Mus musculus: one gene and its partners. The protein of the gene in region 3 purifies or fractionates together with the protein of the main gene of each other region. This does not show direct contact. Links are inferred from orthologs where the notes say so. Each region holds a gene or a part of one and is shown on either strand. Other genes may lie near its edges.

Region 1 (4,495 bases), on a different chromosome or scaffold from region 3:
AAATATAGCAGCATCATTTATAATGATTTTTAAGGTGGAACAAAGTATCAGGCACAGAGATAGTTTGTCTGCCTCCATTAATTTGCTTATTCAAGTCAAATGTCAATTACTATATGAATATTTTCTATAAGCTCTACTTCTTAATCATATCACAACTGATAGTAAACTTGGTAAGGAGTAAGTAGAGTTGTCAATTGAAACTACTGTTCATTTAAAAATGTTCTAATTTTAACTAGGCAAATTTAAGCTACATTTTAAAAAGTAGTTCAGTTCTGCTATGTCTAGAAACATTTACCAAGCAAGTTAAGTAAAACCCAAGTTTGGGTTTTAAGTATATCACTTGCTATCATTTGCAAATATCTCATGTAGAATGATACATGCTTACTTTCAGTAAGTGAAGCACTAAAAGACAAACAAACCCCCCCCCCAAAATCAAGTTTCCATATTTTATATTAAAGTCAAAAGAAAATACCTGGCATTGCTTTAATTCTACCACTTTTAATGTTTAGCATAAAGTTACTAAAAAATTTTCTTTACCTTAAATCTGGCAGAGGTGAGGGATTAATAAAAAGATTTTTAAATCTGTAATTTGTAAATCTAGAGAAGTCACTTGTTCCTATTTCTTTATGGGGTGTTTCAATGATAATGCAAGGGCTGATTCCTCCAGACAGTACAGGTGGCCAACAATTCTGTCATTTCAAAACAGAAAGAGAAAAACTTGTTAGTGCATTAAGAAACCTTGGCTTTTGTTCTACAATTTCAAATGATAGCCAATTTGATGTTCGTATTTTATTTTTGTTTTGTGTTTTGTTTTTTTCGAGACAGGGTTTCTCTGTGTATCCCTGGCTGTCCTGGAACTCACTCTGTAGACCAGGCTGGCCTCTGCCTCCCAAGTGCTGGGATTAAAGGCATGCGCCACCACGCCCAGCCCTGTATTTTATTTTTAAAGCCATATAATTCATATTAGTCTTCTTAAGTTAGATAACGAAGCCTGGTAATACAAGGTAATACAATACTTAATGTACTGAAATAATAACATGCATTTTAATGTAAAGTGAAATAATTTTAAGACTAGTTCTCTGAATCTAGAAATTCTAGCAAGGATACTTTTTTAAAAAATAGCTCTTTTTAACGTGTTTTCTAATACTTGAATGTGAAAACATCAAAAAATTTAGTCAAGTGGAATCACTTAGAGAATCTTTTTGAAAGAATTACCATCTCCAAGTAAACACATAGGAAGGGATCCCAAAGCCGGGTTGCCAAACTGACAGTGATCTCACATCCTTTTTATGCCACTCATTAGCTATTAGGGCCCTCCACTGTAGTCTGAAAATGAACAAAGAGCAGTATATAGGCAGACCTAGTATACCAGCCAGCTCCAAAAGGGAGGGATTTACCAAAGGGAACCAGCTGCTTCTAAGCCATCTACACTGCAGCTGTAGGACTCAGGCTTATATGAACCTCCTTCAAGTTCACCTCTAAAGTATCAGAATCTTCCCACTATAAGGCAATAACACATGATTCCACTCTTATTCTTCCCCAGCCCACCCTGTCCAGTTCTGCATTACCCTAATCTCATACTGATGCTTCTTGGTGATCTCCTCTTTTCTTTTTTTGACATCCTGAAGAATAGAAAAGAACATGTAAACTAAGGTTTCAGCAAGGAATATTTTTCCCTTTCTCCCTCTTTTTCCTTAAATCACCTGTGCTGTTTTTCTCTTCTTGGCCTGAATTATCTGGGTTTCTTGCGGAGAGTCTGGCTGGTTGGGCTGGGCATGTTGCTTAGCTTGTAAACGGCTACTGTGATGAATTGTAGAAAGGAAGCTTAATTAGTACGTCATATATTTCAAAAGCAGCAGCTAATTTTGAAACATGTCTCCAAGACTAACACTGTTACCTGCGTCTTGACATTCTCTTCAAGGACTATGAAACCTCTAAATAGGGGAGAAGAAAAACAAAATCAAGAACATAGTCATCCATAATCTTCAAGTTCCAAATTAAAACTGATTCAGAAGTTACCAACTAACGTTACTAGAAGGTGGCCTAAACCTTTAAAAATAAAACACTGCACTATTTTCTGAAATACACTCGCTATCTCAGTAATTTTACATTCATGCTTTCATTTCCTTAACTGTACACTGGGAACGCGAGTGCGTTCAGGAATTTGCAAAGTCCCCTAGCACCCTTAGATGATCATCTGGGCCATTCATGCACTCCCCAGGACAACCAGGGTGGGAAAGGCACGTCCTGGCCTCGGCCGCCAGGCGCCTGGACGAGCCTCCAAGAGCGGGCTGTGGAGAAGCCGGTTCCGCGCCAATTTGGAGAGCGGCTGTGGCGGGGAAGCAGGGGGTGGAGGGAACCTTCTGGTGTCACGTCCTCCAGGCTCCTTTCCCTCCTTCCCAGCCCCACCCGGCGGGCAGTGTCGCTTGCAGGGGTGACGGGACCCCAATTCCAGAAGAGCAGAAGGAAAGGGGGGGGGGAATTAAAGGAGAAAACCGTGCTTAAGAATCTCTCCGTGAAGTGATCCCACCTTAATCCTCTCGCGCGGGAGACCTTCCCCAAGTGAGGATGGACAGAGAAGCTCCCAGAGAAGCTTTGCCGTGGCCTCTCATTTGGGGACACACTCCATCCCCTGCCTCTGCTTGGCCTCCTGACAAGAATCCTGACAGGGACCAACCTCGGGAACCCCTGAATTCCAGTCTCCTACTTCTTGTCCCACCCCCGCCCCCCATTTTTCCTCTCCCATGGCTCCCGCCAGACGTGGTTCCCTTAGCTCCCGCATGCCCCTGTCCCCAATACCTCCTCACCGCCAGACCCTCCACAGCTCGGCTCAGCTGGCGCCGGCGCCAACTCAATATATAGGCCGGGCCCGGACCGCCCCGCACGCATGCGCCGCAGACTGACACCTCGGCCGGCGCCTTCCCCTCCCCCACCCGCGCCCGCCCAGCTCGCCCGCGCGCGCCGCGCCCTGCCCTCAGTGCGCGCGGACGGGCTGGCGGGCGGGCGGGCGCCGAGTGGCCGTACGGCTGCCCTCCTGGACCGTGCTCCTCCGCCCCTCTCGGCGCTTCACCTGCGCGCGCCGCGGCTGCACGGCTCAGAGGCTCCTCCCCCATGCTGGTTGCCCACCACAGGCTCCCGCACGCCTTCCAGTTCGCGCCGGGCCCCCTCACGGTGGCTCTTAGATCTCGGAGTGTCAGGCTACGGTTCGGCTCCGCGTTTTGGCAGAGGCCTTGGGAGGGCTGGGGTGGGGAACCCCAAGTCTCCTCAGAGGCACGGGGAGCGGGAGCCTAGGGCCCACCCCTCCGGGAGGAGCCGGCCAATGGCAGGAGAGGACGGCAGCACAACGTGGAGCGGCCGCAGAATGTAAACACGCCGGAGCGCGCCGCCCGCCACGTGCGGAGCCGGAGCCATCCGCCGGGCGACGAGCGGGCGGCGGCGCACAGGAAGGTGCCTCAGCGCGGCCGGACGAGGTACGTGGGAGCCTTGTCCCCGCGCGCCGCCGAGCGGCCACTCCGCTCTTGCCTACGGCTCCCTCCCAGAGCCCGCGCGGGAAATATTGGCGCCGCGCGCTGCCTTTCTCCTCAGACGCCTGTTCCGGGCGCTGACCACCTCTCGGGACTCCAGCGGGCGCCCTCCCCGTCCGCACGCACGAGCGCCGAGGCTCTGGGGACCTGGCCGGAGAGCAGGACGGTCCGCACCACGTGCGCGCCCGGGCCGCGCCGCGCCGCGCCGCGCCCCGCCCCGGCCCTGCCCGGCAGCCAGCGCGCCCTGCGGAGCCCGCGCGAACTGCCTGCGCGGGAGCGCCTCCCGCCTGCGAGCGCTGCCGGGACGTGGCGGGCCGCCCCGCGCCGCTCCTAAGCCCCGGGCTCCGACTACCTCTCGGCGCCCTGCGCACCCTCAGGCCGGGCTTGCGGGTGACACGGCACACACAGTCCCGTGGCGCGACGCCGCTTGGGGAACAAAGACCACCCCCAGGCCGCGGAAGCGCAGGAAGGGCTCCCGCAGGCCGGCGGTCCCGCGCTTAGCCATCCTGGTCCGGAGTGAGCCGGTGCGAGGGCGCCAAGGACAGCGGCCGCGCGGCCCGGCCCTTCCCGAGATGCACCTGGAGGCCTCCGGCCGCGGTGGGCCTTTTGTGCCACGCTGTGGTTAAGAGCCCAGGAAGGCCCTCGTCACACTTCCCGGGTCTTCGCATGGTCCTTCACACCGGCTAAAGCTTACTTTCCCAGCTTTACACGTAGACAGGATCAGAGGAGACCCAGTGCCTTGTCTAGGCCTAAGGAGCGTTCACCCAACCCATAATTGCTTATCAAGACTGGGGGGGGGGGGGGGAGTTACCTCCCTTTGCTGGAGCTGTCGTCTTGTACAGCTTGAGATCTAACCCGTTATGGCAAGAAAGCAGAGGTGTGTTATCTGAGTGGAAGTAAAACTGATGGCCTACAGCCCCGCTCCATAGTGACTTCAAGACCAGCCTAGATTATGTGAGACACTGTCCTAA
Region 2 (4,577 bases), on a different chromosome or scaffold from region 3:
GGAGTGTGGGAGTCCTCACTAGGTGGGCACGCTCCCCTGTATCCAGATGACATGAAAAACCCCAGCCCTACCCCAAGATCAGAGGAGCTGGCAGCAGCAACCCATCCCTGCCTTCAAGGCGCTCTGGTCGGATTTTCCCCTCCTTTCTGGGGCCTCTGCTCTGCTGTGTGGATTTAGACTGCTGGAGTTCTTGGAGTCCCTCACAACTCTGACCGCAGGCCACTCTCAGCTCAGGGCCTCGAGCAGGAGAAGGAGGGCTTTGCCTATTCTGAAAAACTCCCCTCACACACAGCCATGTAGACCACCCTTAATCTCTTCACAAAGAGTAAGTCTCCTACCTCCCAGCCTCAATCCCTCAAAAACATCGTGCTCCCTGGCTCTGGAAACTAGATTCATCACAAAGAGCTGTGGGGCCTCCCGGATTCCCAACTCAGGCCTCCCATCCGTGAGAGCTGCTTGACAGGAAGAGGAATCCAGTTCCCCGACTCACAGCAGTCAGGGGCCCCAGTACCCTAGCTTCCCAGCCAGCCAATCACAGGAGTCTGCCTGCTGCCCTCCTCCCTAGGAGATGGGGCCCAGAGACTCCTCTCAGGGTCAGAGAAGGCTTGGCCAGCCACAGAACAAGGTGGAGGGAGGTGCCAGCTCACCCACCCTCTCCCCCAGACCCTGTGGGAGATGACGTTCAAGCTCCCTTCCAGATCCAAGCAGATCCACCTCCTCCCTAGACTCCTCCGGGGCAGGGCAGAACCCAACCGATTTTTTTTTTTTTTTTTTTTTTTTTTTGCCCCGCCTGGAGGAGCCCAGCCCAAGTTCCCAGCAAGAGGCCCCAAGGAGCCACTTCCCAAACCACAGGAGTGACAGCAGCTCCCCACAGGGTTATGAAAGCCCTTGGTCTGAGTGGGAGGGCCAGGGGACCGGCATCATTATCACATCGGAAGCAGCTGCAGCTCAGCTCCCTGTCTGTCTCGGCTCTGGCCTTTGGCTGAGCAGCAAAGGGAGAAACTCTTCCACGGGCCCAGAGCAGCTGCTCGAGTTTTTCAGAAGGAAGACAAGAAAGGGAGGGTTTAGAAAAGAGCGGTGTCTTCGGGGATAGGAGGGAAAGGGATGAAAACACCTCAGCGCTTCCTTCCAGCGAGCAGGGCCTGGCTTTAATCAGCTCCGGGAGGCTTTTCCATCACAAAGTCCACACGGGGATAAAGGCTCATGCAAGGCAGCCCCCTCCCCCACGTGAAGCACATTCCACTCCGGTGGGGGTGTGCAGACATGCCCTGCTGCTGCCAATAAATAACTCACGGTGGCTGTGTAAACCCAGAGGCAAAGTACTGGTGTATAGACCCGCAATTGGACTTGTTGCTATTGGGGGGGGGGGGGGCGAGTTAGGAGTGGAACCCCACTGCGGCCAGAGGAAAGGGATTCATTTAGTTTTAAGCTTGCAACCGAAGCACCACGACCACACTACAAGGCCTTTGTCCCAAAATACCAGCCAGGGGCGAAGGGAGGGTTGGTGGGTGAGGGAGTGAGCTTGGCTTTTCTTTTACTAGTACATAGGGCGATCGTATGTTTGGTGGAGGGGCGGGGGGGGGGGGGGAGGATTCCGCACGCACCCGCAACTGCCATGGAGCCACAGCCTGGTCCGTATAGATGCAAAGCTTCTCAATAGTCAGGGGCGTGGTTTCGCGCAGCTTGGAGGCCAGCAACAGGCAGACGGTACCTAGAAGCTGCAATTGCGCCTTTCGGGTGGGGACGCAGGACAGGTAGCGATCCAGGTAGTTCATAGCCAGAGGGAAGACATCCTCCTCGCAGCGCTGCTCCTCACACACCTGAGGGAGGGCGCACGAGTCATTGCTAGGGAAGGACCAAGTGAAACACGGCAGCGTGGAGAAGTGGGGGTGGGGGGTGGAGGGAGAGTGGAATGCGAAGCAAAAAATAAACCGAGAAGGGATAAACTTAGAGCGACAAGTATCAATAACCGAGGAGGATGTGCCCTCCCCAAGGTGACCCCCCCACTTCCTCTGCATGGTCTCTTCCCCACCCCGGAGTAGGGGGTGTAAAAGAGAAGCCCATGCTCACGAAGGATTCCAGACTCCCCTCCCCCACGGCGAGCGGAAGGGGGACGGAAGGGTCACCTAGAGAGAATTGGGACCTTACCCTCATTACCGCCACCCACTGCACACACACTCCCAGGGGGAAGGGAGGGAACTCCTGCCGCGGTCTCCCGCACTTTTCATTTCCCTGTGGACCGGAACCGAGCCTGCGCCACCCCCACCCACCAGTTTCCCCCGCCAGAACCCCGCGATAGACACAGGAACCAGTTCTGGGGCTAAGGCGGCCGAGGCCAGGGTTTTCCAAACGCGCCCTCCAGAGAGCACCGGGTGAAGAAGGAAGCAGGAGACACCGAGGAAAGCCACTGGGGAAAGAGTGGCCCTTAGCCCGCTTTCCCGACCCAAAGTGAAGTTTAGTTACAGTGCCAAGTGACTGGAAATCACAGAAGAAGCCGATCAGGATTGGGGAAAGGAAAGGGACAGAACGCAGGCAGCTGCTTAGGGCGCCTGTGTGAAAAGGCCAGGCCCCAGTAGTCTGGGCCGCCAAAGCATCTTGCAGATTGTGGTCGGGATCGCAAAGATCCGACAGGGAAAGTTCAATTTGTCCCAGAGCCGGGGGTGGGGGTGGGGTGAGGAGAGGGGACCCGTTCGGGCCTTACCTCCAGCATCCAGTATGCCAGCATCTTCCGCATGTGCGGCTTGATCTCCTTTTGCACGCACTGGAAGTAGGAGGCTCGCGGCACGTAGCGCTCCTCCAGGCGGAGTAAACTCTGCAGGACACGCTGGTCCCCAAGCAGCCGCGGGTCGGGCCCGGCCCGGGGCGCGTGCCGGGTGCCCTCGCAACACAGCAGCTCCATCCTGCGATGGCTCACGGGTGAGAGCAAGAGTGCGGGTTAGCGAGTCCTAGGAGAAGCGACGCGCGTGAGGGAGAGCGCGGGGTGCGGGCGGGTCTGGCGCTGGCGCTGGCACTGTGCGGAGAAGCCCCAGCCCGCCCGCCACCCGCGCGCACCGCTTCCCTGACAGGCGCCCCGCCCCTCGCGACGATGTAGCAACCGTGGAATGCTCCTACGTCACAACGTTCTAAGGGGCGGGGCCGCAGTCGGAAAGGGCTGGCGGGCGCTATACCCTCCCTCCCTCCCCGCAGCCCCATTGGTCCGCTGGGCTCCGGCCCGCACGCTTCCGGGCCCTCGGGTCCCTTCTGACCAAGAGGGTAGAGAGAACTTTCTGGAAGGGTGCCCTCTTCCCCATCAATGGGCCCCGTCGCGATTCTAGCCACCCAGGAAAGAACTAGGCGCCAAAAGTTATTCCTTCGTGTATACGTCATATTTCATTGCTCTAGGGAATGTGGTCATAACTTTGTACATAGTTGGGTCACTCCTACCCTAAAGTGGCTTCTAGGAATGGCCTCGAGTTGGGCTTTATTTTGCAGACCATGATACTGAGGCACAATAGTAGCTGCAAAGATCTCATTGTTGGTCCGTCGGGAAACTTGACTTAGAATCTCGTCTACTTTAACGAATTGCGCAGATCTGCAGCAGCATCTGGGAGCATGTAGTTTCTGTCCGATTCAATGGCTCAGAGGGTAAACTATCCTGGCATCAAGTCTGGCAACCTGAGTGTGATCCCTGGGACCCACATGATGGAAGAGAAGAGAGCAACTCCCATAAGCTGTCCTCTGACTTCTACACCAAGGCTGTATGTAGCATGTGCGCACACACCTTCATGCACATACACAACGAAAATAAAAAGCAAAAGAAGAAATGCAGTTTCTCAGGTCTGCTGAATGGGACACTGCGTTGCACCAACGGAGGTGTGAGCAGTGTTGGTCAAAATCAGCATATAAAAAGCCATTTGGTGCTGGCTGTGGTGGAGCAAGCCAGTAATCTCAGACCCAGGGAAGTGTTGGCTTAACACCAGGATCCACTATCCACTATACAGACAATTCAAGGCCTGCCTAGAGTCTCTCTCTCTCTCTCTCTCTCTCTCTCCACACACACACACACACACACACACACACACACACACACACACACGGTGGCAGGGGGTGGGCTGCAGATATATCTCAGGTGGTAGAGCTCTTGCTTAGCATGCTCAGAGCCCAGGGCTCAATCCCCAGCACTGCAGAACCCAGAAACGATCAGAAGATTAAGGTCACTGTCTGCTTCCTAATGAGTTCAGGAGCAGCCTGGGCTATATAAGATTTTATCACAAAACCAAGCAAACCAAATGATAATAGCCCATGGAGAATTCCAGGCCAGCCAGACCCATGTCAGATGACTCAAATAACAAGGAAGGAAGGAAGGAAGGAAGGAAGGAAGGAAGGAAGGAAGACAGGCATGACAGAGCACCCCTTTAATCCCAGCACTTTGAAGACAGAGGCAAGCAGATTTCTTTGAGTTCAAAGCCAGCCTAGTCTAAATAAGAGTTCTAGGTCAGGAGGAGCTAATATCATGAGACTATGTCTCAAAAACAAAAATCAAGGGAAAAAAGGATGTAATAAGGAAGGCAGGAAAGAGGAAAGGAGGGAAAGAAAGA
Region 3 (4,605 bases):
ATCTGTGGGCATCCAAGGCCTGGAAAGAGACCTTTTGGATCCTTGTAAGAGAGTAGAGTCTGCAGACTGCAACCCATCCAAATCCAGACAAAATCAGGAACACTGAGACCACCAGAAGAAAACAGACAAAACCCAAACCAGCCGAGAATGAGGAGACTCTGCCACCAACTGAATAGAAGTCCCCAGACAGGAAACCTGAGTATCAATTTCCTCATTGGTAAAAAGAGGCTAAACCTATCTAAGAACTTTCTGGACTGTTACATTTTGAATGCAGGAGGCAAGGCACACACACACACACACACACACACACACACACACACACACACACGTGCACGTGCGCGCGCGCGCGCGCACACACACACACACACACACACACACACATCCTGGCAAAGATGTGGCTAAGAAAACAAGTCAATATTCAGTCTCACCTACACCAGAGGAAGATAGGAAAACCATGCTTCTTTGGGACACTAAACCAGAAATTTAATTTCCTGTAACATGTTTTGTGTTTAGCGCAAACCAAGACTGTTTGGGAATACTAGTGGGCAAAGCCCTTAAAATCTCACTGAACTCTGAGATACGACAGGCCTGGCTATTCTGTTTTAACTTCTGTCACTGTGCTCAGCAGTGATAGAGAAATGTGAAGTTGCCCAAGGAGCTGAAAAAAACCCACCCAACATTACTAGATGTTGGTAATACCGTGGTGGTGGTATTATAAATCACTTGCAAATCTAGTCTTAGATCCTTAGGAAAGTGTTTTCGCCCTTTAACAACCTGCAGCTCTCTAAAAGTATTTGCTTGTATTTGAATATTGTACTGAGTAGGTTGGAAGCAACAGGCTGGTGGGAGAAAAAAGAGAAGGAAGGCACTGTTGTAGTTGGCGTCTGGACTCAGGTGGAGGGAACGGCTTCGCCCGGGAAAGAACATAAGGGTATAAAGGCGAGTTCCCACACGCTATAGCAATGGCTTTCACTGTGCTTAGGAACCAAGAAAATCAGAACTGGCTTTTTCTGATTTCTGTCTGGGACGGCTCTAAAGAGAGGCTTGGGAGAGCACTGGGGGTTTTCAATCTCGAGATCCTACGGTGGAAGCGCTTGGATTCAGAAACACCCTGATAAGAGCGGTCAGTCCTGGCTTCTTTTTGAAACCACCTCCTGGCCTGTCCTACATAGCAGAGACTTCTGGGGTCAGGCTAAGCGGCCGATTCCGCACCCCAGCTAAGGCACCCTGCCGGGTGGGGGTGGGTGGGCTGCCCCAGGCCCTGAGCCAAGGTTTCCTGAATCTCTCGCATACCCTCCTCCATTCCCACCTCGGCGAATGCAGGTGGGCTGAACTAGCCACCGAAGCTCCTAATAAGCCGCCAGCGACCTAGGAGCCCACTGGTCCAGGCCCTAGGTTTCGCGGGCAAAGACCTGGAGGTCGCAGTCGGGAGCGGTGACGCGCCTGCCAGCGCAGCTCTGCAGCGCCGGGACCTAGATCCCCGGGTCCCTGCCTGGCCGCCGCGCTGGCCCCTCCCCAGCTCTCCGGCCGTTTGGCTAGTTTGTTTGTCTTATTTTTAATTTCTCCGGGGCCAGCCAGAGCAGGTTTGTTGGCAGTCGTACACCTCCGAGTAGTCACGCGACCAGCCAATGTCCTGGCGGCGCTACGGGGAGGCGGCGCGCTCGGGAGCGCGGAGAGGCGGCGGCGCCGCGCCCGGGGCCACCTTAAGAGCGCGCTCGCCAGCCTGGGCGGAGCGGCTCCCGGCGCCGAGACCAATGGAGCTCCTCCTCTGTTTAAATAGACTTGCAGTGTCAATCATCTTCTTCTTCGTCAGCCTCCCTTCCACCGCCATATTGGGCAACTAAAAAAGGAGGGGGGCTCGTGCTTTTGGGGTGTTTTCCCCCCTCATCCCTTGTCCCGACTCACTCGCGGCTCCGAGACTCGCGCGGCGGCAAGGTTTGGAGAGGGGCTGCGTTCGCGGGACACACGGGCTCGCCCCAGCCTACGCTCCGACTGTTTGCCACCTCCTCCTGCCTCCTCCCCTCCCTTCCCCGCCCTCCAGTACACTTGATCACTGAAGCCTCGAGCTGCGCGGCGGCTGGGGTGTCCCTGCGCCTCTCTTCCCCAGACCTGCGCGCTACTGCGGCTCGGGCGGTCGCTCGCCTGGCTCTGCTCCATTTGACTGTCTGTGTGCAGTCGCAGAACTTCGAAGAGGGTTTTGCGCTCCATCCGTGGCGTTTCGCTTTTGTTCGGTTTTGTTGTTTATTTCATTTTTTTTTTTCCGGAGAGAGGCGAGGCGGTGGTCCACACCCGCCCGAGGAGGAAGATGTCAAACGTGAGAGTGTCTAACGGGAGCCCGAGCCTGGAGCGGATGGACGCCAGACAAGCGGAGCACCCCAAGCCTTCCGCCTGCAGAAATCTCTTCGGCCCGGTCAATCATGAAGAACTAACCCGGGACTTGGAGAAGCACTGCCGGGATATGGAAGAAGCGAGTCAGCGCAAGTGGAATTTCGACTTTCAGAATCATAAGCCCCTGGAGGGCAGATACGAGTGGCAGGAGGTGGAGAGGGGCAGCTTGCCCGAGTTCTACTACAGGCCCCCGCGCCCCCCCAAGAGCGCCTGCAAGGTGCTGGCGCAGGAGAGCCAGGATGTCAGCGGGAGCCGCCAGGCGGTGCCTTTAATTGGGTCTCAGGCAAACTCTGAGGACCGGCATTTGGTGGACCAAATGCCTGACTCGTCAGACAATCCGGCTGGGTTAGCGGAGCAGTGTCCAGGGATGAGGAAGCGACCTGCTGCAGAAGGTAGTGACTCTTTGGAAAACTTAAAATGTCTGTCTGTCTGTCTGTCTCCGTAAGCGCCCCTTTACTAGACCCTGTTCACTTGCTTTCTCCAGCGTGTTCTGCTTTAGCTCTGGGAAATCGAACTTGTTTGAAGCTTAGGTTTGACATACCCCCTATCCGACTGCTTGCCCTGTTTATGATTTTGAAGTCAGAAGCCGGAGATAGTAAGATGTGATAACTTCCGTAGCCGAACGCATCACAGTTCCTCCCCTCTAGCCAGCTGTAGATACGTGACAAAAGTTCGGATGTTTACCAACTGCCTCCTCCTTGGCTGGGGTGGGGGGGTGGGGGTGGGGATGGGGGTGGGGAAGAGACGTGGGGTGTAGAATACTCCTTGTGTTAGTGGGAACAACCTTATTTTGTGTCCTTAGATGCTACCGGGGATGACGGGTCCAGGGGTCGTGGGTGGAGGTAGTGAGTGGGTTGTTCATCCCTTGGGCCTACTTCTGTCAGCCATTGTTGTCGATAATAAAGATGGTTTGTGTGTGTTCTCTTAAAAATTTCCCCTTGCCCCCCTCTTAGATTCTTCTTCGCAAAACAAAAGGGCCAACAGAACAGAAGAAAATGTTTCAGACGGTTCCCCGAACGCTGGCACTGTGGAGCAGACGCCCAAGAAGCCCGGCCTTCGACGCCAGACGTAAACAGCTCCGGTGGGTTAATGAGGAAGAACACAAAACTGACACCCCATCTGGGCTGCGCTCCCCGGGGGGCCTGCAGACCCCAGGACTGCTGGCAGATTAGTTGCCTGCCAGGAGGAATTACTTTCCTTGATCAAAAAAATTAACACTGGGGAAGGCTGGAATCACTTGAGGGGACTATAATGCAGTATTTGCACCCCAAGATATTTACCTTAAAGTGGAATCAGAATGAGGTTCCCAAGCAAGAACTTGCCACCAAGGCCCCAAAGGATAGGGACGGTCGTATCCTTATGAATCCCACTAAAACTTAGGCTGGGAATGACAGTTTTCCTTTCCAGTCTCAGTTCATGAGAACCCATTTCCCAGAGGTTCGTTTTGAGCCAATAGCCTATTTTGAACCATTTGAACTGTAGAAAAATGGCAAATATATACTTACATGTATGTTCTTAAGAGAAAAACTAGGTACCCATAGTGCACGTTTGATTAGGAGTGTGAATAGAGCTGCCGTGGCTCGAGTTCTTTTTATCTTTTGCTTTTGTTTTGGTTTTTGGTTTTTTGAGATAGGGTTTCTCTGTGTAACAAACAGCTCGGGCTATTCTGGGAATTGCTCTGTAGACCACGCTGGCTTCGAACTCACAGAGATCTGTATTGTCTCTGCCTCCTGAGTGCTGAGATTAGAGGTTGTGTGCCATCACCTCTGGGTACTTTTTTATTTTTTTTTAAAGTTGTGCCTTGTATGCTGGTAAATTTTGGAGAGAAAGGAACTTCATACTTAAAAAAAAAATTAGACTGGAAAGTTCAGAAGTACTAATGCTCCCACAGAATTGATTTTAACCCTGAGGTTACAAAGCAGAAGTTAAATGAACAGCTAGAGGAAGCAGCCTTCCCACACGTCAGCACCGTATGCTAATTTGCTGGAACAGGACGGTTTGGATGTTTATAGGGGAAATGGATAGTAGATGTTAGGACCAACTGAGAAGGTCCAACACAAGTGTGGATTTTTCCATGTGTCAAAAATCTCATCACCCCACTTGCCTAATTAGAGTAACCCAGCCCCTAAATTTACATAGATTGACTATTCATATGCTCTAACTACTTATAATAGTTTATAAGCTCCTTATGAAGAAAACCAGCATTCTCTATTTCTA
Region 4 (2,929 bases), on a different chromosome or scaffold from region 3:
TGGACTTCTGAGTTTGAGGCCAGCCTGGTCTACAGAGTGAGCTCCAGGACAGCCAGGGCTACAGAGAAACCCTGTCTCGAAAAACCAAAAAAAAAAAAAGTTTCCAAGTAACAAGATACACGCAGATGCACTCGTTAAGCCGTATGTAGCCACAGAAACTCTTAGAACTCAGTTTTAAAAATTCCTATCATGGGCTGGACAATTGGCCCAGTGGTTAAGAGCACTGGCTGTTCTTCCAGAAAACCTGGGTTCAATTCCCAGTAGGCAAATGTCAGTTTATAACTGTAACTCCAGTTCCAGGGGATTGGACATCCTTTTTTGAAAAATATATTAAAAAAGAGAGAGAAAAAAAGAAAAGAAAAAAAAAGTCCTATTATTACAGGGGAATAACACCATTTAGATCAGATATGTACACTTAAAAACCTGGGCTGGATTACAAGGTGTGCACACTTGGGAGTTGGCCGACCTTGGCTGAAAATCGAAAACTATGTTTATTAGCAACATAAAGTCTCCATATTGCAAAGACAACATAAACAGTCAAAAGGGCAAATGAGAATTGTGAAAGCTTTCCACCAATAAATTTTATTCAACTTGATATCAGATGTATAAATTAAAACAGCAAATGAGACAGGATTCTTTTCCAGGTGGCATTACAAGACAGGAGTGGCGCCTTGGTATGGTGGCAGCCACACCCATCTGGCTGTCAGAATTCAAAGCACACCCCTGGAAGAGCTACTATGAATGAAGCCAAGCAAGACATTAAACATCATTTAAGAACACTGTGGAGGGCACTGAGAGAATGCACTTGAATCCCACCGAGGGAATGACTATGTTACACACAGTTTGTTCACACTAGGAAATGCAATATAGGCATTGAAAGGAATGCTGATAGGAATACTGTTGATAAAATGAACCCATATAAAAATATCTCCTTGGGAGTATATGCATGATTATATCTATACAGGATATACAAGAATACACCCTTATCTGTTGATAGTGAGACTTGGGGGCAAATTCTTTTTAAAACACACCTTTAATTTTGAACATCCTATTTTCCAATTAAGAACAAATAAATAATTACATAAAAAAAGATACTTGGTTTCAGATCTGAAAGTTGACAAACCAAGAGACAGTGGTTAAAGGTGGCAACCACTGGAAAATGGAACAAAGGACTAGCTGGTAGATTTAGAGTTTAAACTAGAGTGAGGCAGAAGACATGATGATATAAGGACACACAGTGAAGGATGTATATAGACATATAGGCTACAGATATATACATTAGTTGGATCCACTGTTAAAACTAGATGCAGTTTTTAATATACTCCTAAATTCGACAACTTCCGTTAGCCTAAACTCAGAAGCAACAACATTCAAATGAGTTAAGCTATGTAAAATGAGAAGTCACAACCTTTATTGAAGAGCAAGTAAACACGGTAGGTATCCTATGTACAGGCGGCACATGGTGCCAACTGCATCTGCAGATGTAGCAGTCTATTGGAGTTATGCCTTTGTCACGGCCTTAGACAAATTCTGAACTAGTGTACAGTTCAGCTGTGCCAGCGTGCTGATCTTAGCATGCTTAGATGCTGCATACTTGTTCTTGACAGTCTGTAAGAGAAAAGCACTGCAATCAGGAAGAAGAAAAACATTGCCATTGGGGGTGTGTTGGGGGGGGGGTGGGGAAGAGAAGTAGAAACAATGTAATTATATTTTAACTTAAAAAATGAAATTAAACAACCTTTCTATAGAGTCCTGGCTGGCTCTAAACTCAAAACTTGCCTCTTCCTGCCTTGCATGGTGGGACTATAGGCCATAAACCAGCCTTAAATTTTCAATGGACTCACCATGTGCTTTGTGAGGCCACAGTTCACCATGACTACATTCTTAGCCAGGTGCTGCATAACAGGAAGCAGGGAGTCTTCACTGTAGGATAGGTAGTGCTGCAGAGTTGGTGTCTAAGAGAACAAAAACATGCTTAAAACACCGGCGGCTTTTATAAACTTTAAAAAAAAAAAGATTTATTTATTATTATGTATAAGTACACTGTAGCTGTCTTTAGACACACCAGAAGAGGGCGCCAGTTCTCAGTATGGATGGCTGTGAGCCACCACGTGGTTGCTGGGATTTGAACTCGGGACCTTCGGAAGAGCAGTCAGTCAGTGTGCTCTTACCCACTGAGCCATCTCACCAGCCCTCCTTTTATAAACTTTCTAGATGCTATTTAAGAGTCTGGTGGGTGAACAGTGTGATTACACATGAAACAAGATCTTTTTGCCCACATATACTTCTGGAAGAGCTTGAGCTCTAAGCACAATATTGTAACTGTGGCTTCTCTATCCCAAGGTCAGGGTAGCACCCTGTCCGTACAAGAGAAATGCACCTCCAAGGATGTGGACAGGTTTCTTAGATCACTTGGTGTGGCTTCCTCTCTCCAAAGGGTGTTATCCTAAAGACTGAAGTTAGCTACAGCACTGAGATGGCAGCGCAGCATTTGGGTTACCATTTATGGTCACACTCCTTCCATATTAGGACCCAGGAGAGTGATCTCAACACCAAGTGGTCCGTTCCAATGCTTGGTAGTTTGGTGAGACAGCTTACCCATTCACCGTTGTCAAGAATTTTCAGCGCTAAGCAGAAAGCCCCAGCTGCAATTTGAGAAGGAGCAAAATGCACCATGTCGTAGTCCAGCATGGAGAGCTCCATGAGGTATTTGGCCAAAGTGTGCTGCTCGACGTCAACCTGGAACAGACCACACCACTCTAAGCCTTCAGCACTAACTTAAAAAGCCCTGCCCTGCCGGGACTACAAACTCTCAAAGACAACTGTCCCCAGAAGGTCTTAAAAGTAACCACGTAATATGTAGTTAGGTCAGCAGCCTTATTTTTAAATAATGTATAATGTCTAATGTATTTGACATTTTAAGTTAGCA
Region 5 (3,805 bases), on a different chromosome or scaffold from region 3:
GCCCAGCTCAAAGAATGTAAAAGTAAAAAAAAAAAAAAAAAAAACCTAGGAGATAGAAGAGGGAGAACAAATGACACTTTATAGTTGAGTTAATAATTAGCCTATTTATTGTCAAATATGTGTATGACTAAAAGAATGTGCTTGGAGATGTTGAAAAGCAAGAGACTATACTGCCAGTGAAATTTGTTAAGCAAATACTGTGTCCAGTAAAAGGAACAGGAGCTATGCTCTACTGCCAAGGGACTAGAGCAGTGGTTTTCCACCTGTGGGTCATGACCCCCAAACAACCATCAGAAAACACAAATATTTATATTAGGATTTATAACAGTAGCAAAATTATAGTTATGAAGTAATAACAAAAATAATTTTATGGTTGGGAGTCACCACAACATGAGGAACTGTGTTACAATGTCACAGCATTAGGAAGGTTGGAAGCCACTGGACTGGAGTTTAGTTCCCCTTTTAGTGACACTTCAGTAGTCATTGTCCTTCTCATAGGAATATGGTAAAGATAAAGTAGTAAAAATCTGACTGATGTAGGTCTGTTTTTTTTTTTTTTCTATGATAAAAGAGTCTACAAAAAAAATCTGGGTTTTTTTTTTCCTTTTTCTTTTTCTGTTTTGTTTTCGACAAGATTTCTCTGTAGCCCTGGCTGTCCTGGAACTCATTGTGCAGACCAGGCTGGCCTCGAACTCAGAAATTCTCCTGCCTCTGCCTCTCAAGTTCTGAGATTAAAGGTGTGTGTGCCACTACTGCCTAGTGAAATCTGTTTTTCAAATGAGGGAAATCTGTAAGGAGTAAACAGGATCCCATTGCAGAGTACTTTAGTACTGTTTCAAATCTAGCAAAGAAAAATGACAGGGAAATACTACACATAAAGATAATTTGAAAATTATGGCATAGTTTGTATTTATGGTTAATTATTTTCTAGTTAATATATCATTGTTCTAAGTAATCATTTAGAACTCAACAATGATATATGCAAATAAATTACACATATCACAATAAGGTTTTCAAACACTAAATGACATAGGAAAATGATTCATAGTAAATAAAAAAAGCTAGCCTGGCTAAAATATGGCCTAATTTTGTTAGAAATAGAAAAGTATAGAGAAGAAACCAATAGTTGGATGGTGATTAGAAGTAAATTTATTTTCTTGAAAACATTTTTAAATAAAATAAACATGTCATAGAAACCCTTCAAGCCTTAATAGTTGGACCTCGTAGCATAGTGAGGTGAAGTTTAATATATGTTACAATCCTTTTTAGTGTGTGTAGGCTAGCACAACATGGGTATAGATAGGATAAAAAGTGGTAACTTGAAGGGGGAAAACTTTCAATACAAATGCAACGCAGTTATGTAAACTATGCATCCCTGCCTGTAAGGTCTAGTAGGTAGAGAGCATGCATTAGTCTACCTGCCATTAAGCCATACCTTGAGAATAGGTATGAGGAGGGTCACCTGCCGTGTCCACTGAGAATGCACTGTGTAGTTCCTGAGAATCTTTTTCCATTAGCTCTCCTGTGTCACTGGAGGAAGATGAGGATGAAGACAGTCCCAGTCTCACGTATCTTCCTTTTTTACCACACAGTGAGCAATCCACTGGTGTGGCACTAGGTCCCCTGGGCAGGTGAACCTCATCTCTGTTGTAGTTCCTAACAGCTCCACTGTGATGCACAGACCGCTCTCGTTGCCAGATGTAATGGGTTGGCGCAATGGCCATGACCTATAGTGAAAAGGTTACTTTGTGAATTTAATAACATTTTAAAATTGAGTAAAGTACAGAAATTGTAAAATAACAGCCAAATTACCTAAAAAAAAGGGGGGAAAAAGGCTGTTGTGGTGTACACCTTTCATCTCAACAGAGAGGCAGGTGAATCTCTGAGTTCTAGGCTGGTCTGGTCTACAGAATTGAGCTCCAGGGCTACACAGAGAAATCCTGTCTTAGGAAAACAACAACAACAACAAAACAGACAAAAAACAGCCCCTCCCAGAACAATAGAAATACTTAAGTTACAAACTTTAAATCAGCAACATCAAATCATCCATAGCAGCATTTTCTGTAGAGTGATTTCTTGGATCATTAATATTAATATTGACAAAGTATCTAAATTAGTTCAAGTAGATAATATAAATGAAGCAACCTTCTCAGTTGCTATTTATTTAGTCAGTCAGTTTGTTTTTGAGATAAGGTGCTCTATGCAGACCTGGCTGTCTTCAAACTCAGTCTCTGCCTTTGACTGCTGGGATTAATGGAGCGTAGCAGGGTATTTATTTTTAAATTTTCAAATATTTCTAAGTTTAGAAAAGATAATAATATAGTATAAAACATTATATAATTCTTTTGTATGTGTTGGTAAAAAATGGGCTCTTAACTATGTTAGGCTAATCTTAAAATATTTACAGTTATATCAAGGGATGTGTTATTTTTTAAAAACATGTAGATTAACTTCTTTGTCCTTCAGTTTCCTTATTTGTTACACAGAGACAAGAGTATACTTTTAGAAAGTTGTGAGGAAAGGATACATTTTATAAAGCACTTAAGATTTCTCCCTGTCAGGCATTGTCATAAGGTTTTTAAATCAAGCGTGGGCTTTAGTTGTAGACTTTCTTATCCTGGTTCTACCACTTGTTGACTATATATGCTACAGAGCAAATTATTTAACCTTTCTGAGGTTCTGTTACTTCATTGATAAAATGGGGTTGCTAACTACCACAAATATTGTTTTGAGATTCAATATTACATGTAAAATCCTTACCACATAATTAGCATCTGGCAAATGATAGCCATTTAAGAAGTCAAGATAAGGAAAAGTATAATATATTGACCTTATGAAATCCAAAATAATGAGATTTAAGTCAAAGTCTTTAGCTGTAGTTATCAATGATCCACAGTAAGTGATAAGTTATAATAATCCTAAAATGAAAGCCAAACAGTCATACTATTTGCCTAAACTAGTGATTTCTTAAAAATGTTTAAAAATTCTGAAATTTTAGAGCTATACTGGGGACCTGGGAGGGACAAGGGAAGGCAGCATTATTAGAGAAGCTGTTTTAGGAGCCTATGTATAAGGACTTATATATGTTTTTGATGAGAAAGAACTCTTTTTGTTGTTACGTTTTAAGACATATCTGTGTATCTCTGGTTGTCCTAGAACTTGCTCTGTAGACCAAGCTGGGGGCCAGTGAGTGGAATGTCATGGTTTGAATATGCTTGGCCTAGAGAGTGGCACTATTTGGAGGTGTGTGCTTGTTGGAGTAGGTATGTATGTCACTGTGGGCATGGGCTTTAAGACCCTCATCCTAACTGCCTGGAAGTCAGTATTTTGCTAGCAGCTTTCAGATGAAGATGTAGAACTGTCAGCTCTTTCTGCACTATGGATGCTGCCATGTTCCTGCCTTGATGATAATGAGCCTGTAAGCTAGCCCCAATCAACTGTTGTCCTTATAAGAGTTGCCTTGGTCATGGTATCTGTTCACAGCAGTAAAACCCTAAGACAGAAGTAATGTAATTTAAGTGTACCCCCACCCTGAGCTACCCTCACTTTTTTTGCTCCTTACCCTCCCTATTAGTTCCCTTTATATTTTTGGTGCTTTTATTTTTAAAATCATCATCATCATCATCATTTTGAGGCAGGATCTTCTTTGGTAGCCTTGGCTGGCCTGGAGACCAGGATTAGTCTTAAACTCACAGAGATCCACCTGCCTCTGCCTCCCACATGCTGGGATTAAAGGCATGTGCCACTATACCCAGCTGTATTTTTTCATGTCAGCTGTACATATATGTATATAAGCTATACATTT
Region 6 (4,472 bases), on a different chromosome or scaffold from region 3:
TCATATAAAAAAAAAAAAACTCACCAAGCTGGACTTACACAAGTCTTGCTGTGTCTAAACAGGAATCTGATTTGTTCTGTAATAATGTCAGACAGAGAATTATGCCTTCCCGGGGACCTGTTCTAGGCCAAGGATCTGATTATCTCTGACATATCCAGTGCCTGAGGTGGCTTTAAATTTAGAGGATTTTCACCTATGCTCTTGCTTTATCCTCACAACTCTAAGTAGGCAGGTGTCAAACGAGGTAAAATAAATTTAGAAAGCGCATCTTCTTTTTGCATATAAGCAGATGCTCCTGAACTCACAATTCAAAATCCCACTGTGGGATCAACTAAAAACCATCTAGAGACACACCAGTCACAGGAGGATAAAACAGGAGAACAGGGTGAGCGAGCTAGCCAAAACTCTTCTGTTACAGGGACTTGTATTGAACTGCACTCAATGATTGGTTATACAAGGGTGTTTGTTTGGAGGAATGCTACTTTTTATTTACATATATGATTATTACCTTTTATCTGGACACCCCACAGGTAACAGACAAACGAAATTTGATATTAAATTCTAATGTTGAAAGTCATCCTTTCCTACAGCTATAGTGATCCTCTAGGGTAGTGAATGACTCTGAGCCAGCAGGCAACTTTCAGGATCACAGACCTCTCTGAAGTGCAAGACACAGACAGACAGACAGACAGACAGACAGTAATCCACTTTTAGTAAAACCTGACTTTCTAGAAGACTCATTCTCCCTCGTCTCATTATCTTTTGCTGTTGCACCCCACATACCCCTGCCACCCAACTAAAGCATAGGTATAATGGCGGCCCTTTATTTACATTGGCTTTTTACTTATTTATGTAGTATGATTCACTTGTGAGTCTGATTATATTGGGAACAAAGTGCTAGCAAAAAACAAAAACAAAAACAAAACAAAAACAAAAAACCCAACCCCACCAAAAGACAAACAAACAAATAAATAAACAGAAAAAAAAACAAAAAACAAAAAACAAAACGAACACCCAGCCTAGTAGAGGAGTTAAAAGCCCTTTAACAACCACCTCCCAGGAAGATTCTGTAGACTCTGAGTCCTAGAGGGCTTGGTATTTCAAAGGTCAGTCTCGGGTCGCTCCTTTTTGATGACTAATGTTACATTGTTTGCCTTTTACAAAAATATTTAGCTGTTCTTATTTACATAACTTCATCCCAGGGCATACAGTAGGCACATATTTGTTGTAAGGAATCCCTACAGGAATGAGAAGACAGGATGAAGACGCCAAGATCATCCCTCTAAAAAGAAGAGCTGAGAATGTTAACTCATCACCTAATTTGTAGAAAAGTCTGTGCATTCCCTTTTAACTTCCAGCTATGCATCTGTTTAAAAAAAGAGAATGAGAAAAGGCACAATGGGGAAATCCCAGCATCTTCGAGAAAACACCATTATCTTCAGTCACAGGAGACTGGGTTAGGAATGCCTCCCCCACCCACCTGCACAACTCTTCCAGGGAAAACAGAGGCTTTAAAATCTAAAGCACAGACTCACATCTAACCAATGAGAGAGGCATTCTAAGTCAGATCATACCAGTCCACAGATACTAAATGATACAATCAGAAAACCCTTTGAGAAGCAATCGCCCTCCACCCTACCACCCACTCTCCCTCCCTTTCTTTTCTCAGACAGGGTCTTTTGTAGCTCAGGAGGGTCTTGAACTCTGGATCTTCCTGGTTCAGTGTTCCCAGTACCCAGCCTTGAAAGACATTTTTCAAACAATGTTTAACACTAGGTGTCAGAGTCTAAACTTCTGAACTTCTAAGACCATCAGAAACCATTCTACAACTATAAAAAAAAAGTCACCACTGTGGGTTTGATTGGCAAACACATTCTTACACATTTCTTAAACTTTATTTACATTATGCTCCACCCTTAAAGTTTCCTTCTAATTATCTGCAAGCTGGATAACTATCTCACTCTGTCTCTCAAAAATCCCCCCACCGACGGGGAAAGTTAAGTAAGGGCTGGAGGGATTGTCTGGTTTTGTCCCTAAAAGACACCCAACGCCCCCCCGGAACCCTTGGGGCACGCAGAGCGAAAGCTCTTCAGAATAGCTTGGCTGCCCGGAAGCCACCGCAGGTCTCTTTTTCTGCCCTGTCTAACAGAGTCACCGGTTTTATCTGGGGAAACTCAACTCTTAACTTTAGTTGGGCCACCAGCCGCCCCTTGCCCAGCACCTTCCCGGACCCCATAGCCAGGGCTCCCGGCTCACCTGACCACGTTGGGGTGCTCGAAGGTCTCCAGGTGCCTCAGCACCGCCACCTCGCGGATGGTGGAGAGCGGCATGCCCTCCTCACTGGTCTGCACTCGCACGCGCTTCAGAGCCACGAAGCGGCCGCCGTTCTTCAGGTCGCGGGCCTTGAACACCTTCCCATAGGCGCCTTCGCCGATCTCCGCCACGCACTCATACTGCTGATCGGCGCGACTCAGGCTGTCCTTCTCCATGCTGGCTTCAGGCTGCGGGTGCGGCACAGTGGAACCGGGGTGCTCACTCGCTGCCTTACACGCCTCGGGGAGTCGGACTCGCGGCCGCCGGGCTAGACGGACCGACCTTCTCGCCCGCGGGTGCAAGCCGGGCGCAGCCGCTGCGAAACTCCGCCTAGCCGAGTCGCCGCGCCGCCGCCGCAGGAGAGCGCCGATCCCTCCTCTTCCCCCTCCGCAGCGATTACATAGTCTGCCCACAATCTCTGCACCTAGGAGGAGGAGACCGGAGGACAAGGAGAAAGTGTGATCAGACTGCCCGGGAGACTTCCACAGGGTTCCACCAGCTCCTCTCCTCCTCCCTCTACTCGCACTGGTTGCCTAATCGGGCCGGGTTTCTCGGAGAAAAACCAAGTTACTTTTCTTCCACAGCAGGGCTCGTGCAGTCTTCACGAAGGAGAGGTTGCTGGGGCCCCTCGGGGATGAGCGCAGCGCGGGACGCAGCGGGACGAGAGGGGGCGTGCCGAGCAGCCCAGAGTGTGCCCGGAGCGCGGGGGAGGGGAGGCGCCGGGCGCGTCAATGTCACGGCTCAATATTTATACCTATATTATTGTTCTCCGCTGCCCTCCCTGACTCCAGGGGCCTGGTCGTGCAGGGTATGGGGCGACCTGGGGGAGTTCGGAAGCTGGCGTAAAAGCACCGGGGGTTCACCCACGTGGGGCCGCAGAACGGGGTTGGGGCTCCTAGAACCCTGTAACCCGATGCTGCGAGTATGCGAGTAGGGGTGGTCAGACATCTGCTCGGAAATTGCTTCCTTTCTTTTCTACTTTCAGTTTTTCTACAGGGAGACATTTGAAAGGGACTCGCTCTCACAAATGGTCTTTGGGGTATGGCAAGCTTAGTGGGAGACGAAATTCTGCCTCCGATTCGGAGGACCTCCCTGGTGGAAACTCAGCGAGGACAGACCATCTGGTAGGGGAGGGCTGGGGCTACTAGAGGTGGGAGAGCGAGGGGTCCTGGAAGGGGAGTAGTGTCGTGCTCCCCACCTCACACATACACAAACACAAAGATCCGAAGGATGTGGGAAAGGAAGGTACGTCACACTTTCACTCGTCCTGTCCTGAAAAAGTAACTTCGGGACTTTGCTAGCTAATCGGGACTGGTCCTTAAGTTTTCAAGCCGTGCAAAAGCAACCGCCCTTACGACGGTGGGGGTAGGGGGCAGTAAACGTAGGTCTCCCCGGTGTGAGAAGGGGCTGCCCTTGTGTCGAGACTTCCGAATCCCCGCCCGGTATCCTGGGCGGCTGAATGTCGGTAGCTGAGACAGTCGCTCTGTTCTCCAAAGGCCAGAGGCTAGGTCCCACGCGCGCGGTCGGGCGCCCCCTCCCCGTTCTGTTGTTTAGGGATGACCGAGTGAGCCTTCCCGTCCCACAGCGGCCTTAGTCTGGGCTGGACCTTGTTCCACCACAGCCGCGTGTCCGGAACGGTCTGCATGCGTTTACCTGCCCCGTACCCATCCCCCCCACCACCACGCTCTTCTGCCTGGTATTAAAGAACACATGGAGCGACCCCCACTGGATGCCAGCATAGCACCGCCCGGCCAAGGCAGGGCCACTCCCCGTTCCTTTGAGAGCTTTCCTAAAAAGCTGCGGAAAGGACCCTCCAGCCCTCACCCGGGGGTCCGAGCCAGGTCGAGGGCCACACAGGTAGCGGGAGCAACGGCCTTGGCGCCCGCCCTCCCCCTCTGCCGGTGTCCAGCCTAGGCTCCAGGAGGGGGCAGCCGTCCCACCCCCGCGGGCCTACACCCCCCGGACCGGAGCGGCGGTGCCTAGCCCCCTCCCCTCCTCCACTTTTTCGTAGTTGTTGTTGCTTTCCCACGCTGGCTGAATGTGACTTGACCCCATTTCAAAAAAGTTTGACATAGCGCTTCAACATTTCCGCATTCCTCCGCGACTACAAAGGCTGCAGCCGCCTCCTTCTGCTTTCTGTCTCTGATCTCTGTCTTAGC
Region 7 (4,584 bases), on a different chromosome or scaffold from region 3:
CCTATCTGTGCTCCCCACTCAAACTCCTCACGAGTCCAAAAATTCTTTCATAGGTAGATATGCTCACATTTACACTCATGTAAAGATAAAGAAACTGGGCTGGAGCCCGGCAGTGGTGGCCCAGGCCTTTAATTCCAGCACTTGGAAGGCAGAGGCAGGTGCATTTCTGAGTCTACAGATTTGAGTTCCAGGCCAGCCAGGGCTATACAGAGAAACCCTGTCTCGGAAAAAGAAGAAAGAAAAGAAAAGAAAAGAAAAGAAAAAGAAAAAGAAAAAGAAAAAGAAAAAGAAAAAGAAAAAGAAAAGAAACAAACAAACTGGGCTGGAGAGATAGCTCAGTGGCTGTGCTTCCAAAGGACCCTGGTTCAATTCCCAGCACCCACATTGATCTGTAACTCTGGTTTCTGGTTTTCTGACACCTCCACAAAGACATACATGCAGGCAAAACACCAACAAAACATAAACTAAAAGTAAAAATAAATTATATATTAAAAATTAAAGAAAGCACCTGGGAGGTGAAAGGACAATTAACACCAAGGCCAGTGTTAAGAGATAAGACATATGCAATCCCAGAAGAGATGGAAGCACAGACTGGAATACACAGTGAGACTCTGTCTGTCTTAAGAAGGGAAAAACAGAACACTAATATACAAGAAAAATAAATCCCACTAACAAATAACTATTCTTTCCAATAACTTCAAGTGTCATAACTTTTACAGATTAAAACAGATTTTTCGAGTTTATGGTTAAAAATTGCAACCAACTTGTCTCAGACACTATCTCAATTTATAGTTCTTTAAAAAAAAAAGTAATGATTAAATGTTTAGTCAAATGACCCTACACTTAAGTCCTAAGTTTCATTTTCAAGTTGGTCTTCTCTAAGAATTCAGATACTAGACTCATGTGGGGGAAGGGGTGCAATCTAAGAATACTTAAATACAGTTGTTGGCCTTTCTCGGAACTAGCGGTTATCTTCCAACTTCAACTATAGGTAATCCAGAAATGGCGGCTCTGTGGTCAATGCCAAGCACATTTAGCAGCCCCAACCAAACAGCTTCCAAATAGTCATTCCACCGTCAGCCGTGACACCCACATTCAAGATACAGAATCATGCAGTAAGTAGTGCAGCTATGGAGGGATTGTTCACTTTCTGATTGGTTCACCTGTCTCGTTGGTGTCCCCCAATCCCAAATTCCACTCACTGGATTGTGAACTGTAGGAACCCATCAAACAATGCTGTGACTCTACAAGTGATTGTCCATATACCTTCAATGGCACTGCAAGCAGCAAAACACTACCCACCAGTAGCCATCTAAAAAGGTAAGTTCACAATGAGTCAAAAAACAAGATGCTACAAAAGACTGCTACTCCGTGTGTGGGCAATCGCCTGCTTCATTCAGTAAGAAACACACGCCTCACTAGGAAGGGACCGCCCTCCCCTGGCTTCCCACCCGAACGACTCTCAGCACTTCTAACTATAGCTCACAGGAGCACGCACTCACCCCGCCCATACTCGGAGGAGGCATTTAGACCCGGCGCCTAAGTTCACCGCCCTATTCTCTATGCAGCATGTCCTCTGAGTGATCCGAGGTCCCGCCTCGGCGAGTATTCAGTGCATCCTCTACCACCACTTCCTCTCCTACACCGCAAACTCAAGAAACCAGAAGGAGGAGCAGGGAGGGCATCATTCACTGTCCACGGCCAGCAGTACACGGTTTCACCAAGACATATATGCCCCGGGCGAAAACAACCTACAACACGGAACCCCAACTGCAGGCCCCCGAAAAAAAGAAATTAACTCCTCTTTCCTACTTCTTGTTATACACACACTCACAAAACCAACAACAACAAAAATCACCCACAAGGCTTTCGAGTTTCTTCACATAAGAAGGGACTCGGTAGCCCCTCCCTCCCCCATCCCAAGCTCTCCACCGAGGGGGCCACGTGATGCAGGCGGACGTTTCAATGCTGCTGCACTAAATATTTCTGGAAACTTCCACTCCTAATAATTTACAGAGACGTTCCCGAAATCACCCCCGACTCTCCCCAGCCCTTTGGACTGGGGAAGCCCTTCCACCCACGCGCAGGGGCTCAGCCTCACTACCACGCTCCTCGCCTTCCTCCACCGCCACCCGCACACGAAGATGACCCAGCAAGCGCTCCCCTCCCGCGGCCGCCTCCCCACCTCCATCACCGAGCGACAGAAGCGCTTCCATTCAATCTCAGGCTCCGCCGAGGGCCCCGCGCCCGCCGCCCGCCTCGCCTCATGCCCGCCGCGCCGCCGCCGCCCGACCCTCGGCCCCGAGCACACGACCGACTTACCCAGAAATTCAACCAACTGCTTCTTCCTTCCTTGTCCGGGCTTGGGGCGAGGGAAGGTGGGGAGGAGGGAGAGGGGAGGAAATCAAGGTGGGTTTCACAGTTTTCCCACCTTAAACAAAAAAGAAATTAAAAAGCAGAGAAGGGCAAAAAAAAAAAAAAAAGCTCAGTATTTACTATTCTAGGGACAACTCCACCCAACACACACTCACGCACACACACGCGCGCACGCACACACACGCGCCCCACCAAAAAGGGGAATTAATCCGAGAAATAAATGCTCCCGCCCGGCTGGGGAGGGAAGGAAGGGGGAGGGGAGCGGGCCAGTCCGTGAGACAGAGCCCAGGACCCTCCAGCCACAGGCGGCGGCGGGAGCAGCAGCGCGAGTCCGTACGGCCGGGGCCGCTCTGCCGCCAGTTGCAGTCCGGCTCCCCCTACCACACAGGGCTCCCTCGCTCACGCCGCTCCGGCGCCGGGCCCCCCCACCCGAGCTAGCCTAAACTTTCCCCCCTTCGCGTGCTCCTCAGCGACTGGTGCCTCCCCCCTCCCCCTCGGGATGGTTGCACGACTGCTGCAGCAAAGGCTGGAACAGGCACGGCCGCCGGGGCTGTAGCTACTGTTGCTCTTGCTGATGCTGAAGCTCCCGCTGCTCCTGCCGCGGCCGCTGCAGCCGCTTCTCCCCCTCCTCCTAGTGCCTCAAACTCGGAACCGGTTGAAACCGGTTCAGACTGGGAGATTCCATCTCGGTTGAGTTTTCAGCCCATGGCGCCGCGGAGCGTTTGGAACCTGGGCCTCCGCCCCCAGGCCGCGCGCCCATTGGTCGGCCCCGGCCACAGCCGCGCCATCAGCCTACCTCTTATTGGTCGGAGCGCCCGTCAATCCCACCTCAAGGCTCCACACGAGCCTGCCGCTTAGGCCCCCGCCTCTTTCCAGCAGTGATTTGCCCGCAGAGTGGGGGAGGGGAGGCGGGGCGGGACGCAAAGGAGTGAGGGGGGGGTGGAGGAAGAGAAGGTGGGACGTCGAACAGAGCCCAGCAAAGAGGAGAGCGGAGAAGCCTCACAGAGGATTGGCTTGAGTGAGCTGTCAGTCAAGTGCAGCCCGCCTTCTACATCCCTTTCCCCTCGAGTGGCTCCCCCTCTCGGTCCCTCGCTTGTAAGCCCGGCCTTTCCGGCTCGCCCATTGGCTGGGCGCCTTTGGTGACGGAGAGGGTGGGGTTCGCCCGTGAGCAGAAGGCAGCGCGGGTTTGAGCGCCGCGCGCGTTGCTCGTCTTTCTGCTTTCCCCCCCTCCCCGTTCCCTGGCGGCCCGCCCCCTCGAGCTCCCGCCAACCTCAGGGGCCTCGTCCTGGGGCCCCAGCATCCGCCCTTAGGATGGGGTCTGTGCTCGGAAAAGGGAGGGCACACCCTGTTTCTACATGGAAATAGACGGCCGCGAAGGACCGAAAAGAACACATAGGTGCCGGATGGTAGGCCCTGGGCCTTGGATCCGTTGTAGAGGCCTGGGTTTGGGCACCGCATGGGAACGTGAATAGCACGGGCCGAGGTTGGCATAAACGGGCGTGCAGTTTGGGCGCCTGGAAACGGTTGTCTAGTTAGTTATTGGACGAGCCTCCTTAAAAATTTAACTCTCTACCGGGCAGAGGTGGCGCATGCCCTTAATCCCAGCACTTGGAAGGCAGAGACAGGGATTTCTGAGTTCGAGGCCAGCCTGGTCTACAGAGTGAGCTCGAGGACAGCCAGGGCTACACAGAGAAACCCTGTCTCGAAAAAAAACAACAACAAAAAATTAACTCTCCCCAGACTGCTTCAACAAGAAGTTATTTCTAAAAATTAGTCCTAACACATTGAAAATCCTGTTGCTAACTTAACAATGCGTATAGACAGATTTTGTGCCAACTTCTTTTAACTTGGTGCGTGCCCTTATTATGCCACGCCCCTAGGTTAACCCATGGCTCCCAAGTGCCAGGTCAGTTTTGCTGATTAGGGTTGCTTAAAACAACCAGCAGTTGGGTGGTGGTGACAGAGGCAGAGGCAGGCAGATCTCTTGAATTCAAACAAGCCTGGACTACAGAGCAAGCTCCAGGACAGCCAGAACTACAAAGAGAACCCTATCTGGGGGAAAAACAGCCAGCAGTCCACCAAAATCGACTGGTCTGTTGTGCCACAACATTTATTAAGTCAACACAGTTGACCTGGCATATTGCACAGGCCTGAACTCCCAGCACTTGGGAAGAAGTGACAGGAAGAATAGGAATGCAAGGCCATCCT

What was found.
Region 1: the proteins of Cdkn1b (region 3) and Ccne2 purify together in Homo sapiens (co-immunoprecipitation; 5 studies listed by BioGRID and IntAct, with this or other methods). This does not show direct contact. The link is inferred for Mus musculus from reciprocal best matches to the Homo sapiens genes CDKN1B and CCNE2.
Region 2: the proteins of Cdkn1b (region 3) and Ccnd3 purify together in Homo sapiens (affinity purification with western blotting; 9 studies listed by BioGRID and IntAct, counting the BioPlex papers as one, with this or other methods). This does not show direct contact. The link is inferred for Mus musculus from reciprocal best matches to the Homo sapiens genes CDKN1B and CCND3.
Region 4: the proteins of Cdkn1b (region 3) and Ccnb1 purify together in Homo sapiens (affinity purification with mass spectrometry; 5 studies listed by BioGRID and IntAct, with this or other methods). This does not show direct contact. The link is inferred for Mus musculus from reciprocal best matches to the Homo sapiens genes CDKN1B and CCNB1.
Region 5: the proteins of Cdkn1b (region 3) and Spdya purify together in Homo sapiens (affinity purification with western blotting; 3 studies listed by BioGRID). This does not show direct contact. The link is inferred for Mus musculus from reciprocal best matches to the Homo sapiens genes CDKN1B and SPDYA.
Region 6: the proteins of Cdkn1b (region 3) and Cdk6 purify together in Homo sapiens (affinity purification with western blotting; 8 studies listed by BioGRID and IntAct, counting the BioPlex papers as one, with this or other methods). This does not show direct contact. The link is inferred for Mus musculus from reciprocal best matches to the Homo sapiens genes CDKN1B and CDK6.
Region 7: the proteins of Cdkn1b (region 3) and Xpo1 purify together in Homo sapiens (affinity purification with western blotting; 4 studies listed by BioGRID). This does not show direct contact. The link is inferred for Mus musculus from reciprocal best matches to the Homo sapiens genes CDKN1B and XPO1.

What each region holds. Positions count from the first base shown.
Region 1 is NC_000070.6:11,190,120-11,194,614, reverse strand, and holds the start of Ccne2 (G1/S-specific cyclin-E2), read right to left. Parts: upstream 2,907-4,495; 5' UTR 2,800-2,906; intron 1,935-2,799; 5' UTR 1,912-1,934; coding exon 1,898-1,911; intron 1,801-1,897; coding exon 1,704-1,800; intron 1,623-1,703; coding exon 1,569-1,622; intron 690-1,568; coding exon 538-689; intron 1-537. UniProt on the Homo sapiens protein: Essential for the control of the cell cycle at the late G1 and early S phase.
Region 2 is NC_000083.6:47,591,977-47,596,553, reverse strand, and holds the start of Ccnd3 (G1/S-specific cyclin-D3), read right to left. Parts: upstream 3,088-4,577; 5' UTR 2,900-3,087; coding exon 2,702-2,899; intron 2,259-2,701; exon of another isoform or gene 2,229-2,258; coding exon of another isoform or gene 2,175-2,228; exon of another isoform or gene 2,155-2,174; coding exon of another isoform or gene 2,149-2,154; intron 1,821-2,148; coding exon 1,605-1,820; intron 481-1,604; exon of another isoform or gene 339-480; intron 1-338. UniProt on the Homo sapiens protein: Regulatory component of the cyclin D3-CDK4 (DC) complex that phosphorylates and inhibits members of the retinoblastoma (RB) protein family including RB1 and regulates the cell-cycle during G(1)/S transition.
Region 3 is NC_000072.6:134,918,615-134,923,219, forward strand, and holds the start of Cdkn1b (cyclin-dependent kinase inhibitor 1B), read left to right. Parts: upstream 1-1,786; 5' UTR 1,787-2,305; coding exon 2,306-2,780; intron 2,781-3,341; coding exon 3,342-3,460; 3' UTR 3,461-3,469; intron 3,470-4,605. UniProt on the Homo sapiens protein: Important regulator of cell cycle progression. Inhibits the kinase activity of CDK2 bound to cyclin A, but has little inhibitory activity on CDK2 bound to SPDYA. Involved in G1 arrest. Potent inhibitor of cyclin E- and cyclin A-CDK2 complexes.
Region 4 is NC_000079.6:100,778,178-100,781,106, forward strand, and holds the end of Ccnb1 (G2/mitotic-specific cyclin-B1), read right to left. Parts: intron 2,740-2,929; coding exon 2,599-2,739; intron 1,956-2,598; coding exon 1,845-1,955; intron 1,609-1,844; coding exon 1,501-1,608; 3' UTR 562-1,500; downstream 1-561. UniProt on the Homo sapiens protein: Essential for the control of the cell cycle at the G2/M (mitosis) transition.
Region 5 is NC_000083.6:71,576,024-71,579,828, reverse strand, and holds part of Spdya (speedy protein A), read right to left. Parts: intron 1,728-3,805; coding exon 1,436-1,727; coding exon of another isoform or gene 1,425-1,435; exon of another isoform or gene 1,129-1,424; intron 1-1,128. UniProt on the Homo sapiens protein: Regulates the G1/S phase transition of the cell cycle by binding and activating CDK1 and CDK2.
Region 6 is NC_000071.6:3,342,384-3,346,855, reverse strand, and holds the start of Cdk6 (cyclin-dependent kinase 6), read right to left. Parts: upstream 2,964-4,472; 5' UTR 2,885-2,963; intron 2,738-2,884; 5' UTR 2,490-2,737; coding exon 2,257-2,489; intron 1-2,256. UniProt on the Homo sapiens protein: Serine/threonine-protein kinase involved in the control of the cell cycle and differentiation; promotes G1/S transition. Phosphorylates pRB/RB1 and NPM1.
Region 7 is NC_000077.6:23,254,456-23,259,039, reverse strand, and holds the start of Xpo1 (exportin-1), read right to left. Parts: upstream 3,000-4,584; 5' UTR 2,880-2,999; exon of another isoform or gene 2,397-2,879; 5' UTR 2,323-2,396; intron 1-2,322. UniProt on the Homo sapiens protein: Mediates the nuclear export of cellular proteins (cargos) bearing a leucine-rich nuclear export signal (NES) and of RNAs.